2 linked regions of the Mytilus edulis genome follow. Each later gene encodes a partner of the first gene's protein in a complex. Links are inferred from orthologs where the notes say so. Each region holds a gene or a part of one and is shown in the gene's direction. Other genes may lie near its edges.

Region 1 (7,946 bases):
TGCCGAATTTACGGGCTTTAATTGGACCAAGGATTTGAATCCTTGATTGGACTTTGGTAAATTGTTGAAAATCACAGTTATACAGACTTTTTATACAAAAGCCCTCAGATATTGGGCTGGTTTTTGGTATGTATAAGTTAACCATGATGAGTTACAAGTCAAGTTTAAGTTTAGTTCCGCTCTACTGAATTTTGCCTCAATGAAGGGTTTACGACTTTGAAAATTGTTGAAAATCACAGTAATACGGACTTTATTTCTATACGCCTTCAGAATTTGAGCTGATTTTCGATATATGTGAGACTACCATCATGTTTGTGTCCACATGTGTTATTGAAATTGCAGATTTTTCGACACATCTTGCTTCAAAGTTGACCGATATGCATAGAATTTGGCAGAAAAGGGATGACAATACTTAACAATGAGTAATGTTTTTTTACCGAGAGATATTAAAAAAATATGTAACGGGATCTGAATGGTGTTCGTTATTTTGTTTTCATTTCCCCGATCTGGTTTCGTAAATTTCCTATATCTATATCGTTAACGGGAAGCTTCATACCAAAGACAGAGATTTAATTTATTTTATGTAAATATGACAATGACAATGATGGTCGTAGTATGAACGTAGTCAGGTCGTAAGAAGAGCGCAACGAGGACGACAAGGGCGTGCTAGAATCGTACTATGATCATGAACAGCGTGGTATAGTCGTAGCGGAAGCGTAGACAGGTCGCGATGAGAACGTGATGGTCGTAGTGAGGTCGTAATAACGTCGCTGTATGATCGTATTGCAATATCTCCGAATAGAATCATGCTTTCGCTACGCTCCCGCTACGATGGTATAGCGACCTTTGCGATCTTACTACGACCTTAGTGCGCGCTCACTACGCTTCTATTACGACCTGATTTCGCAACGACCGCACCACGATTGTTTTGAACATGTTCAAAGTTGACAACGCTCATCACGATCTTGAAGACCTCACCACGACCGTGATACGACCTTACTGCGATCTACACGATCGTACTACGATCATCAAAATTTGCATTATTTCCACAGATCGTCGTATTAATCGGAAATAGAAGGAATGGAACTGTATTGATATGGAGCACGATGTTGACGTTATTGCTGAGAACGTAGTAAGATCGCGGTGTGAACGTAGTATAATCGTGGTAAGAACGTGCTATAATCGCAGTAGAATCGTGGTAAGATCGTGTTGCAATCGGATAACTCGTGACATGGTCGTGGTGAGAACGTGATGAGCGTAGAGAGATAAGCGTAGTGAGGTCGAAGAATAAGCGCGGTGAGAACGTGGTATAACCGTAGCGGGATCGTTGTAAAAGCGTGATAAGGACGTGGTAGCATCGTGAAAGCAACGAAAATTTACATTTTGATGCCGCTCATACCGCGACATCACCACGATCTGAATTCATTTTAAATCGCGGTGAGCGTGGTGCGATCGTGGTCTAGTGGGACTGGGGCTGAATTGCTTCTTTTATAGATAATCTTCAGAAGAGGTTCAGTCTTTTTTTTGGCCACAATCATCATTGGGGTATCTAGTTTAAAAAATGTGTGGCGTGACCTGGCCAATCAAAGAAGATGGCCGCCATGGCTAAAAATAGAACATAGGGGTAAAATGCAGATTTTGGTTTATAACTCAAAAACTAAAGCATTTAGAGCAAATCTGACATATGTTAAATTGTTTATCAGGTCAAGATCTATCTGCCCTGAAATTTTCAGATGAATCAGACAACCCATTTTTGGGTTGCTGTCCCTGAATTGGTAATTTTAAGGAAATTTTGCTGGTTTTGGTTATTATCTTGAATATTAATATAGATAGAGATAAACTGTAAACAGCAATAATGTTCAGCAAAGTAAGATTTACAAATAAGTCATCACGATTGAAATGGTCAGTGGACCCCTTTAGGAGTTATTGTCCTTTATAGTCAATTTTTAACAATTTTTCGTAAATTTTAGTAATCTTTTACAAAAATCTTCTCCTCTGAAACTACTGGGCAGAATTAATTCAAACTTGGCCACAATCATCTTTGGGGTATCTAGTTTAAAAAATGTGTTCGGTGACCCGACCATCCAACCAAAATGGCTACCACGGCTAATAATAGAACATAGGGGTAAAATGCAGTTTTTGGCTTATAACTCAAAAACCGAAGCATTAAGAGAAAATCTGACAGGGTTTAATTGTTAATCAGGTCAAGATCTATCTGCCCTGATATTTTCACATGGATCGAACAACCCGTTGTTAGGTTACTGTCCTGAATTGGTAATTTTAAGGAAATTTTGCCGTTTTTTGTTATTATCTTGAATATTATTATAGATTGAGATAAACTGTATACAGCAATAACGTTCAGCAAAATAAGATCTACAAATAAGTTTACATGACCAAAATAGTCAATTGACCCCTTAAGGAGTTATTGCCCTTTATAGTTAATTTTTAACATTTTTCATAAATTTTTGTAAATTTTTAGAAAATATTTTCCACTGTAATTACTGGGCCAAGTTCATTATAGATAGAGATAATTGTAGCAACAAGAATGTTCAGTAAAGTAAGATCTACAAACACATCACCATCACCAAAACACAATTATGTCATGAATGTATCTGCATGTGTCCATTGTTTAATATGCACAAGACCTAGGGGAGCGACACAGGCTCTTTAGAGCCTCTAGTTTTATGATTTTCTGATTACGTTTTCTCCTTGTGCTATACCATCGTACTTTAGCAAACAATCATCCATCGTACTTTAGCGTGAAACACCATCGCACTTTAGCGTATACCATCGCACTTTAGCGTGACCATCGCACTTTAGAGTACCATCGCACTTTAGAGTCCTACATATATATAGACGAAAGACATATTAAACAATATTGTATGTTATCAATCGTGTCGGTCCTTGTCAGACAAGATACTGGCATGAACACCGTAATACAACAATAAGCGAACAAAAATGGTATCTGTTAAAAAAATGCCTGCCAGTTCTATATACACAATATAATAAAACATAAAGTAAAATATGAGCAATAAAGTAGTGTTTGGTGAAGTAATGTCAATTCTATCAAGAATAATGTTTAAGTTAACAGGAAACAGAACAAGCTACAAATATTATATAACAAGATTGTCCGCGATAGTGGTTATACACGTGATACTCATTGCTTCTGTGCAAGGTTCACCAAGGGACGTTGCTCTAGAACTCAATAAAAGCCTGGAATCAAAACGAAGAAAAAGGTAAATCCCATCAATACTTTTCCAGGGGCGGATCCAGCCATTTTCAAAAGGGGTTCCCAACCCAGGATAAATAATGTCCCATTCAAATGCATTGATCGTCCGGCATAAAAAAAGAGCCCGGGAGGTTTCAATCCCAGGAACCCTCCTGGCTCCTCCAGGATCCGCCACTATTTTATATTTCATGAAAAGTTAATCCCAGAGAAAAGGTCTCCTTCACTACCGTTGTAAAACCCTTTCCAAAGTGGTGCGGTCGTAAAATTGGCTGTGTTATCAAAAATTAACGTACTAGAAGACGGGCCAGAATGAGATCTTGAAATCTTAAGTGTAACATGAAGTACACGTTAGTCATACACATTTCAGTATTACCAGGGACTGTAGACTGTCACTGGTTTAGGTTACGATAACATTTAATTTTAAGCCCATGTTGATTTTTTTTTCACGGAAAAGAGTCGCTGAATTTTGCGTCCGGCACATCAAGGTAACACCAGATACATATGTACTGTATGGTAACATGACTCTTCATTTTATTTTGTTATCAGTGATGCCACGTGGAGATTAGGGGACTGAATCATAACCCTTGGCCTTTCAACGTATATGTGTTCCGCCTAACAGAAGTTCCACTGCATGGAAACTTTATTATAAACAATGTCATAATATCTGTTCCTGTTGGAACAAATATTATTAAATAAACCAAATAAAAAACCCTTGTATGTTGATCAATGCAAATCCAAATGTTAACTGCTCGTACTTTATCTATTGAAAGAGGGCGGTATCTAAAAATACCAAAGGTTAAGCAGAGTAGGGTATGTCTTTGCTGCAACAATGGAGACATTGAAGATGAACTACACTTTCTTTTAAAATGTTCATCCTATAACTATGTTAGAGATAACCTTATAAAAAATGAAATAATGTTCTATTGAACATCAAATTACTTTCTTTATCATATAACTTGCTTCTATCAATTTTAAATAGTAATTTCCCAACAATATTTAAAATTGTTGTCAACTATTTGAATGACTGCTTGTTGAGAAACTCATTATTAAAAGGTACTTGATTTCTGCAATAATTTATATGCTTCTCTTTAATTTTTATATATTTTACTCATAATTATCCACTGTCACTCCTTCATTGTATATATGTTATTATGTCAGGCGGTGACGAAATTCCGTTATATGTATATGTATATGATTGACATACTTGGGTAGGATAGCTACGGATGATTCCGACAACAAATGTAGTCGTGTTATACACCATTGTAAAGATAAATCAATTTAGATTTACGATATAACAAGTGTTAGTGGGGTTGACAGTCTAGAAAGCGGCATATAACGGAATTTCGTCACCACCTGATATTTTTCTAAAATGCAAGTTAAGTACCTTGTGTTATTTTAAAATATATAGGGAAAAAAATTCTGAAACAAGTGCCGCTGTGGACTTTCTATACTAACTAGTATAGAAAGTCCCTGTCTTATCAGATATCTTATACCATTTATTCCGTTAGGAACATTTACTGTGATATTTATTCCATTTGTAACTTTTATTATAAAGGAACTTTTATTCCGTGACAGGCCAGCGAACATAAAAATTACTAAACACTCTCCGTTTGATTTATTAAAATGTTCATTGTTGTCTTTGCTTTCCAATTTAATATTGCTGGTACTTAGTGAAAATGATCTGGTACCTTGGGTGTAAAAATGTTTTTGAAAAACCAGTCACCATCAACTTCCTTTTCCGGTCTATATTTTTACTAGATACCCGTGAGTGAAATATTATCGCTAGAAATCCATCTTAATCTTTTGAATTTTGCCTCATAAAACATAGTTTGTCACCATTATACATTCAAATTATATGTCTTCTTTTTAAAAATTAGATAAAACCCAAGTAATTTATATACATTTCTAACCAAAAACCATGCAGGTCCTCTGTTAGGGCAATCATGATATATGTGTTACTGACGATTTATGTATTTATGTGTGCTTTAATGGTTCACCGAAATAGTACCAAGCTTTTCTTCTGAACGAAGTATTAAGATTGCATATTATTACAACGGTAGTAGGTAGGTTACTGTCGATTTTAACTTTTAAAAGCTGATGAATATTAAATCCCCATTGCTGCATCAGAATCCTCCTTTTTGACAGCAATCTGCACCGTTAGTCACTATTGGGTATGGAGAAGTGGCAGGCACAATCGAGCAATTGTAAGCAACCTTTCAGGCTTCAAAAACAATTACATTTCATGCCCATACTGTTTACTATCCGTGTAAAGTCCTGTGATGTCCATTGTCAGACGCGGCCCTAGCTTGTCTGGCTAAACAGCCATTGGATTCAAGTATTCTTTAGTGCCTTGGAGTGCATAGTAATACTGGACTTAAATAGGCCATGGCATGTAAAATGTGAAGTAGTCCTATTGAGAAACTAACCCAGTCTTCTCCACGAGTGGCAGCCCAGGCTGGTAAAATTGCTCTCGGGCCTATAAAAATCAGACCTACAGGCCAACAGAATCTAACTAAAAAATTTCAAAAATTGAGCTGCGGGCCTGTAGATTTAGCAGTTCAGCGTGAAGACTGACTAACCGCATAATTAGTAAATTATTTATAATTACACAGGTTAATAGGTAATCTTTTATACCAAGTTTATTTCAAGGATTGACAAGATGGCCTAAGACAGTAGCCTAAGTAGTTGTGTAGTTTGGTGTCCCCGACTATTTACTGTCATATACTTGAAGCAGGTAAAAATTGAAAAGAACATATTTGCCTTGTATAAAAATCTTACCTTCAATGATGACCATGCTGCAGTTTTATATGGATATGTATAATTTTCAAGGTTGTCATGCTCAATTGAACAATTTCATGTCCGAGGAATCATTGATGATAAAAGTTTGCTTGTTTTCAGATAATGGGAAGAGTAATTAGGTCCCAGAGAAAAGGGCCTGGAAGTGTTTTCAAGGCCCGCACAAGAAACAAAAAGGGTAGAGCAGCTTTTAGACCAGTTGATTTTGCTGAGAGACATGGTTACATAAAAGGATGTATCAAGGTATAAGTAATATTAATTTTAGAATGCAGTTATTCAACTCTAGGCTCAAAGTTGTAAAATATCTGTTATTGCTATTATAATGTGATTGAATACACCATGAATGAATGCAGGGACTCGACTTTATTTTTTTTTCTCCCAAAGATTATTGGGTTCCACCAGAAATTTAAGGTGCCTTACCAGTTTTGATACTAATTTATACAAATGTGCTTATTAGTCAATTTTTAAGATGAAGAGAGCTACAGTGCATACATATTTTTTTTTTATTAATCTATAAAAGCATAACCATAGATGCCAACCATTACGATTTTTCCGTAGTTTTTCTGATTTTGCGATAAAAACTACGCTATTACGGTCAAAGTCGAATAGTTACGGATTCCCAATCATCGACGTTCAATTTTGTAAAACACGGATTTTTATCATTACTTTTCCGTCCTGGTCCAGTATTTAGGAAACGCCAATGTAATGCTTCCGGTTTCTCGGGAGTTATCAACCTATTGTTGGGTAACTGACTGACTTCCGAAGAGGCAAACTTGCATTTTATTAAGCAGCTTTCCTCCTTTCTCTACTTCTCCTTGACAAAACAAAAATGTTTGAGTCGAGAACATCTGAACAATTAATGAATGGAATACATACTACAGACAACATGTTAAATGACAAATTTTAGTGTACATCACTTTGCAACTCGTCAGTAATTTTTATTGGTAAATGCACGTTTATGAATGATTACTCAAAACTTTTCAAAAATACGGAAAATTTGATAGTTTGTTACTGATTGTGTCAAAAGGGGGTTGGCATCTATGCATAATTAGCAGAGACTTTCAAATTTTATATCAATTTGACAGAGACGTAATGAACATTCAGGGGTACTACTGAAACAAGTGATTTCAAAATCACTTCTTTGAGTGATATTGGCTGTGAAATATTTAAAATTTTCACACAGACTTTTCAAAATCACTGAAACAAGAAATTTGAGAAGTTAAATAGTTATCTTTTCTTGATCCTCGTGACGTCACGACGAAATTCAATATGGCGGAATAAAATAGGCGGAGAATGTATACAAATGGAAATAATTAGATAATAGTGTTAAGGAAATGAATATTCAAACATAAATAGGTACGTCATATCCTAGAAAAATATCTAACAAAAACGAACTATATATATTGACAAGTTTTGCATGGATTATAAACAATATTTTTTTGAGAAATAAGTGCGACCTGAACCTGGTCACAATTCCGAACGTTTTGAAATAGGAAAAATCCGTAGCTCTATGGTCCGCAAATAGTCAAAAAATAACATAAGGACCTAAGAGATATGATTCCGCAGCTACCCTGACTGATGAAAGAAACAGTAGTTTTATGGTTTAGCAGAAATAGTAGCAGTGTTTAAATTGATGTTTTAAAACCCTTTGATTTTGCTTTAAATTTTTGTATTTGGGAATCTCCTTGTTTAGCACTTATTGTGTACCATAAACCTACATTGTACATGTGCCTTTTAAAAAAAATACAAAGATTTTATGTATTTTAGGACATTATACATGACTCTGGTCGTGGTGCTCCTCTTGCTAAAGTGGTATTCAGAGATCCATATAGATTTAAACAAAGAATGGAGACCTTTGTAGCAGCCGAAGGAATGTACACTGGGCAATTTGTTTATTGTGGCAAAAAAGGTATACAACTAT
Region 2 (7,767 bases), about 9.1 Mb from region 1:
ATAAATATTTTATCACTTGTATATTTTGATGTGTTTGTCTAAATTCTTCTTTTTTTGGGGAGAGGGGGTAAATAAAGAGTCACTCTTTTAATAAATGTAGATAGATTTTAGTCTGTACCAAGAATACAGTTACTGCTAATATTTAATATTATGTTACAGGAACATACAATACCTTCATTGTGACTAGGTGGCAGTGTTAGAGCCAGAAATTTCTCTGTGTTTAACTTGACATCATGATTCTGTTGGTTGATACCTTCTAACTCAGACTTTATCCTGAAATATACAAACATTCTCATAACTATCTTCACCTAAGTGGTAGTACCAATAACCATGTCAGTATTTGATGAATTGGCACCAAGAACCCATTGTAAGTAATGTACACTGATATATTCATTCAACTAAGAGATCCTAACTTTATCTATTTTTCTTGTTACATGTAACTAAGGATGCAGTCTATCACAGATATTTTCTAAACAGTTTCTTGTTTTTAAATGATAACGGATCAGTCGATCTTACAGATTGTATTTTACTATGGGGACTTTGTAGGACAAAGAAAAATATTAATTCATTAATGTGATTATAAGACAAACATGAGTGTGTAAGCAACCAAAATTTTTCACCAGATAGTGAGATACAATGACTGGTATTTTAAATTGACTGGAGATAATTGTTGCTTTAGAGTTTAATGCTTAAATATTGTGAGTTTAGGTTCAATGGATAGTCTAATTTTCTAAGTATTTTGTGCATACCAAGCTTTATTCTTATTTACCTCCTTTCCAATATCATTCTATCCTTTTTAACTTCTCTCTCTCGTTTTATCTTTTTGGACAGAATTCTGTCCAACTTTCTCATTTTCAAAATGGCTTCTTTCATTTTAGGATCCATGTCTTCTTGACCTGTATCCCTGTCTGACTCTTCTGCCCTAGAACTACCTGCTTCTAAGGCTGCCACCTTGGCTTGGTACAATTCCAATTCAGATTTCATTTCCCCTCGGATCTGTTTTTGAATCTCATCTTTTATTTCTTTCATTATTTCTTTTTCTTCATCACTGTCCACATCAATACCATCTTCTACAATTCATCAAATATAATCATCATCATTTTTCAAAGAACAATATTTACCCCAATAATAATATGTGGTTAAAATCAAAAATATGTAAAGAAAATTAAAGTGATGGAATGTACATTATTTTGACAGAGAGCATCATCCTACTTTACTGAAATCAATACACAAACTTGACTTCTGATATAACAGGTAAAATCTACTCTACTGCTCACTAAAGATACCCAGGCTTTATGTAAATGTTTCTCAGCTAAAATTGTATTGATGGGCGACATCTTTGAGTTTGAAAGACCATTGATTGTCTGTTTATCGCTATTTGGCCTATGACCTTGTTGATTTTTACAATGACAATGGCACATATGCATGCGCATTTTGTTACTAACTATAATTTATTTTATCCCCCAAAAAATAGCAATATATGAAAACTGAATAACTAAACAGATTAAAGGAAAAATACCCCAAATAGCAATAATATTACATTACCATAAGGTAGAAGTCCTCCATGCTGCTTGTCATTGTCACTTCCCTCAGCACCACTTAAACCTTGTAAGTTTATGGACAGTTCATCAGGTAATTTTTCCTTTTTCACTTCCTGGTTCATCAACATAGGGTCGTCTTCCCATTCTGATGATTCATCAGACATTTCAAAATTATGTGAATGTGATTTGTTTGTATCCAGTGATTCAAGATTTAAATGAAGATCCATGTCCTGGAAAAGAAAATTTCAAAATCAGCACAAACATTTCATTTTCAAATTTGTATGTGTGCTTGGGTGGAGAGTTGTCTCATTGGCACTCGTACCACATCTTTCTATAATCCTTTTTTATCTGGTTCATTTTGAAAAGAATATACAAGTATATCTATCTATAACTGGTTTTATTTTGTTAGTACATGTACATGTATCTATTGGGACCTTATCATTGAAGAAAAGAATGATGACCCAACATGCTTGGTTTTTTTGTGCTTTTCGTCCACATTTAACCCCATTTAAAAGGCCTTTTAAATATGGAATAAAAAAGTGGAGTTACAATTTAAACTTACTTCTAAATCTGGATTATCACTATGGCCATTCATCTTTTAATTTTTATGTTAATTCTTCAATAAACCTTCTCTGATTTAAACTGACACTATTGTAATTGAATATAACATAATTCAGTCACTGAACCTAAAATTATAATATATGTATTTAATATATACTGAATATAATAATATATATGTGAATAAGTTAATTACTACATCTTAGTATAAAAAAACACCAATTGGTTCAACAGTATGGGAAAACTCTTTGATTTGTCTATTAAATTGTAAAATATCTCTAAACATGCTAAATGTATATATACAGCTCTTATCATTTCACAAAATATCAGTGGATTTATCAGTAAAATACAGTAATTAATATTATGACACAATTTGTTTCCCACATTTTATCATTAAAACAAGTACTAGTGAAATGCAATATGTATAAATACCGGACCATACAAAATTACCGGGATAAACTCATCTGGTCATGCATTTGATTTTGTGCATGTCTTAGGAAAATAGCTCATTTACAATACAGAAAAGTTTTTATACAATGAAATTATTGAAATATAGTTTAGTTTGAACGAAACAGACTGTCAAGAATTGGTTGCAATATATTTTTTCAATTAGATAAAAATTTGACAACCATTTTTATCTGATGATGTGATGTTTTCAATTATTATTTTTTAGCATGAGCTCTTCAACTTCAATCACTTTGATGCTTCATAAAATAACAAAAATAATTTTATTTGATATACATGTCGAATATCATATGGTCTTGTAATGCTAGATATCCCAAGCCGTGTAGACTAGAGGATTCCACTGTAATCATATGTTGCCTGGTAAATGTCATACAATTTTATTTTTTACTTTTAAAATTTAAGTGATGAAGAAAAAAATTGCTTATACTTTCATCTATTTTGACAATCCTTTCGTAAATTGCCAATACACCTTCAATTGCTATTTGTCCGCCATTACTGAATATCACAAAAGTTCCCGTAAAAATTGACGTCATAATAGAAAATATCTGATGCCACAATGGAAAAGGGATTGTTGTATGACATCAAAACTTCAAGCGGGACAGAATGAGATTCTCAGGTCAAGCGGGAATAGCGATAAGGTGTATTTGTAACAGCCACTATGTTCCGTCAGTTACTTTGTTCCGGCGAAACTTTTCAACAAGTTGTTTTATTCCGAGTGCAATCTAAGTTCCGGAAAAAAGTGGCTAGTTGAAAAGTCCCAGAACAATGTAGCTCGTTGAATAGTTCTGGCGGAACAGAACAACTAGTTAATTCAGTCAGAATGTTGCCTTCATAACAGAATAAGTTCTAATTTATTGTTATACATTAATCTTAAATTGAGGATATTTTTAAAACTACCCACATGAGGAGGAACTTTTGAGCTAGTTTGTTAGTTCCTGTTTTGACTAATTTGCCAAAGAGGAACTTTGTGACTAGTTGATAAGTTCCTTTTGACTTTTGTAATCAGTAGAGTATATTGGTTCCCCTTTGAAAGGTTCAAATATAAAATGTTGCGCTTTTACTTTGTATGTATTCTCCAAATGAAACTTTGTGACTGGTTGATAAGTTCCGTTGGAACTTTTGGGCTAGTTTGTTAGTTCCGGTTTTGACTAATTTGGCAAAAAGGAACTTTCTAACTAGTTGATATGTTCCGTTGGAACTTTTCAAAAAGTCACTTTGATCCAGTGAAACTTTTAAACCAGAGGAAGAACAAAGTAACTCTTATCTGGGCCTATTATAGCTGACTATGCGGTATGGGCTTTGCTCATTGTTGAAGGCCATACGGTGACCTATAGTTGTTAATGTCTGTGTCATTTTGGTCTTTTGTGGATAGTTGTCTCATTGGCAATCATACCACATCTTCTTTTTTATAGTTTTAAATAAGTTCCCCCTGAACTTTTCGGCTAGTTTGTTCTTTCCGCCTGGAACTTTCCAACGTCGGAACAAAAGAGCTTTTACATATTCAGGCAAAGGGAATTTCAGTGTCCATGGACTTGGATTCAACAGTCCAACAGACCACATCAACCATCAACTCCTTCCTTGTTGTCAAACATGTTATATATAGAACAATTCTATAATAAATTAGAAATAAACTTCTTACTTATTACATTATTGTATAAAACTTAATTAATTACCAGAAATTGCAGATAGTTGACACAATTTCCATGGTGATCATACGCACAAATTATCTAGTTCACTTTAAAACGAAGTACACAGTCAAATAAAGCAAATTTTTCAAAGACAAACAGGTCAATTGAGACGTCACCTAAAAGTTACTGATACAGGATAATTTTTAGAGGTGTAGGTCACATTTCAAGTGAGAATTCTGGACGAATACTAGCTTTTGACATTCATTTTGGTATGTGAAAAAATCAAAACTTCCGGTAACTGACTTCCGATTTCCACAGACGATTCTACTTTTATTGATAGGTGATTTGATTACAATATTAAAAATAAAAATGTTTCTAACTCTCACAAAAATTCCATAGAAATATTCATTATTTATATAGTACCAAGCTACATTCATTTTAAACGTTAAACTTAATTCCAATACAAAAATATTGCTTATTGTTGTTGGTTTAAGAAAAGAAATATCACCCAAAATAATAGATTCACCCTTGTAACAACTTCCGTTCCAAAAAAGCCATGTGGATGGCGGGTTGAAATGAAAATTTAAACATAGTATAATATCTATTTCAAAATGAAGAAAGTGTCTGCATTTTCTGTTTTTCGTTCACGTAAGGTAATAAAACACGTGTTATGATTACAGTCATTGAATTCATCAAAATCAAAGACCTAATTTATCCTCGCTTTCGACACGTTTCAGCCACACGAGCCTTTCGTACAGGTCGTTTCGGCCACATTACCACCTCGTCCACAGGTCGTTTCGGCCACATTACCAGCTCGGCCACACTACCATTCCGTCCACATTACCAGCTCGTCCACAGGTCGTTTCGGTCCCACTTCCAGTTCGTCCACAGGAGACTTTGTCAATACTTATTCATATTGCTTTTTAGTCTAAATAATTATGACGTCTTGGAAGGCTATTTTAAATTTTTGCTGTGATGCCTCAACTTTGAGACCCAATTTAGCCATAAAATTTTCATTGAAGGCTAAATTTTTTTGCATATATAAAAATTCTTACCTTTTATGTGTTTGTTTGTGCAAAATATTTCCAATTAATCCCTACAGTAATAATAAAATAAGTTACAATTCCATCCGAGGCGGGAACTTGTCGACTGCTTTTTTAAAAACGTTTATCTGATTTAATAAAGCAGTAAATTTCCTCTCAAAGGCCAACTGAAAATATGAGTTTGGTGTTATGACGTCGATGTAAGGCGTCAAAGAAAAAAAATATAATAGCCTTTCAAGATGATGTCAAAATTATTTGTACTAATTGCTGTTATGCTGAATAATCAATAATGGTCTTTTTTTTTAACAAGATTAAAAAAAAAAACAATCGTGTTCCATTTATGAAATTATGTTGCTTTTGAAGCCTTTTTGACCCAAATAAGTAGAATTGTTTCCTAGTATCATCAACCAGTTTGACACTAGTCAGGAAAAGTGGGGGCATTTCTTGTTTCCAGGGAACACCCCAGTTTTCTGCTGTTAAAATTTTTTTTTATAGGGACTTCCTTTTTTTCCCGTGTTGAACATGTAGTGCTGCTGCAGAGATTTCTACTAACCTAACTATGTTTTTGAATGGTAACCGATCTATAGACACACAGACATTATTGAGGGAAAAATAACATTCCTAATCGCTTGTTATTAATTCATCTTCAATAAATACTACATGATGTAGATGCGAAAAGATGTCATGGTAAAAGTTCCTCCATCTTTCAATTTTCATCCATTGAGATCACTGATTATTAACCGGATTTTTGTGACAAAAATGTCGGTTATTGATTTGGGGATGTACGGCGGGCGGGCGGGTGGGGCGGGCGGGCGGCAATCAAATGTTGTCCGTGCATTAACTCATGAACCGTTCAACTAAAGCTTTTAAAATTTTAATATGTTATTACTGACAACTATACGAAGGTCAAGTTCAATAATGGCGATTTTGACTTTTACCGTTCAGGAGTTATGGTTCTTGAAAGGCGGCAATCAAATGTTGTCCGTGCATTAACTCATGAACCGTTCAACCAAAGCTTTTAAAATTTTAATATGTTATTACTGACAACTATACGGAGGTCAAGTTCAATAATGGCGATTTTGACTTTTACCGTTCAGGAGTTATGGTTCTTGAAAGATTGAAAAATGGAGTTTTCAGTCGTGTCCGTGCATTTACTCATGAACTGTTCTACCAAAGCTTCCCAAATTTTAATATGTTGTTACTGAGGACAGAATGGAGGTCAAGTTCAATAATGACGATTTTGACTTTTACCGTTCAGGAGTTATGGTTCTTGAAAGATTGAAAAAAGGAGTTTTCAGTCGTGTCCTTGCATTTACTCATGAACTGTTCTACCAAAGCTTCCCAAATTTTAATATGTTGTTACTGAGGACAGAATGGAGGTCAAGTTCAATAATGACGATTTTGACTTTTACCGTTAAGGAGTTATGGTTCTTGAAAGATTAAAAAATGGAGTTTCCAGTCGTGTCCGTGCATTTATGCATGAACTGTTCTACCAAAGCTTCTGAAATTTTAATATGCTGTTACTGATGACAAAATGGAGGTCAAGTTCAATAATGACGATTTTGACTTTTACCGTTCAGGAGTTATGGCTCTTGAAAGATTGAAAAATGGTGTTTCCCGTTGTGTTCGTGCATTTTCTCATGAACCATTCAACCAAAGCTTTTGAAATTTTAATATGTTGTTACTGATGACAAAATAGAGGTCAAGTTCCATAATGACGATTTTGACTTTTACCGTTCAGGAGTTATGGTTCTTGAAAGATCGTAAAATGGCGTTTCCATTCACGTTGTTGCATTTACTCATGAACCATTCAATCTAAGCTTTTCAAATATTATTATTTCAAAATGTTGATACTGATGACAAAATGGAGGTCAAATTTGATATTGATGATTTTCGCTTTCACCATTCATCAGTAATGGTTCTTGTGATATTGCCAGGACACAAATAAATGTAAATAAATCCAGTTTGCTGTCGTTTTGACAGCCTCTTGTTAGAATAGTAGAATAGAATGAAATATACATGTAACTGTAACTGTGTTCTCTTGATACAACCTTCACTCTGTATTAAACTTCACTACATAATACTAGTCTCATGTACGTCACCCCATGATAATGTATGCCTTTAAAAAACCATTTACTGTGAAAGTATAAAGAATACAAAACTCATAATTAAAGTGCAAAACTACACAACAACACCGCTGCTGTGTTATTAAATATGTTACACATGAACATTCAAAAACACATATGTATATAATATTATACCAAAAAGAAAAACAACCCTCCAGTCCTATCAATCCTATATATCTTATAAATGATTAAAAAAGGGGGGACTAATTGAATAAATTAAAATTTACCAAGTGTTAAATGAGAGAGAACCTCTCGCTTTGGCGCTGTTGTGCTGAATGACCAAAACCCCCGTTTCGGCGGGAAACTGACCACATGATAAGTACGACACCGATACATCATGAAAAGACAAGCGAAAATAATTTCACTCTAATTCACTACGTTCAAACGTATGAAATTATATTTATAC

Evidence for each region. The genes of interacting proteins can lie anywhere in the genome.
Region 2: the proteins of large ribosomal subunit protein uL2-like (region 1) and ribosomal oxygenase 1-like are in contact, whole or in part, in a crystal structure (PDB 4CCN), measured with the Homo sapiens proteins. The link is inferred for Mytilus edulis from reciprocal best matches to the Homo sapiens genes RPL8 and RIOX1. Residues at the interface, in NP_000964.1 of Homo sapiens: Gly213, Gly214, Asn215, His216, Gln217, His218, Ile219, Lys221, Pro222; in NP_078920.2 of Homo sapiens: Gly259, Gln260, Arg272, Thr274, Arg297, Met322, Ala323, Gly324, Ser325, Asn326, Tyr328, Phe337, His340, Asp342, Ile344, Ser374, Asn376, Thr419, Ser421, Thr422, Gln424, Tyr577.

The regions. Positions count from the first base shown.
Region 1 is NC_092346.1:81,980,530-81,988,475, forward strand, and holds the start of large ribosomal subunit protein uL2-like, read left to right. Parts: upstream 1-4,891; 5' UTR 4,892-4,993; intron 4,994-6,127; 5' UTR 6,128-6,130; coding exon 6,131-6,268; intron 6,269-7,792; coding exon 7,793-7,934; intron 7,935-7,946. UniProt on the Homo sapiens protein: Component of the large ribosomal subunit. The ribosome is a large ribonucleoprotein complex responsible for the synthesis of proteins in the cell.
Region 2 is NC_092346.1:91,075,219-91,082,985, reverse strand, and holds the start of ribosomal oxygenase 1-like, read left to right. Parts: upstream 1-4,716; 5' UTR 4,717-4,803; coding exon 4,804-4,845; intron 4,846-7,767. Other genes in the region: myb-like protein X, read right to left, coding at 173-273, 770-1,070, 1,546-1,771, 2,104-2,136. UniProt on the Homo sapiens protein: Oxygenase that can act as both a histone lysine demethylase and a ribosomal histidine hydroxylase. Specifically demethylates 'Lys-4' (H3K4me) and 'Lys-36' (H3K36me) of histone H3, thereby playing a central role in histone code.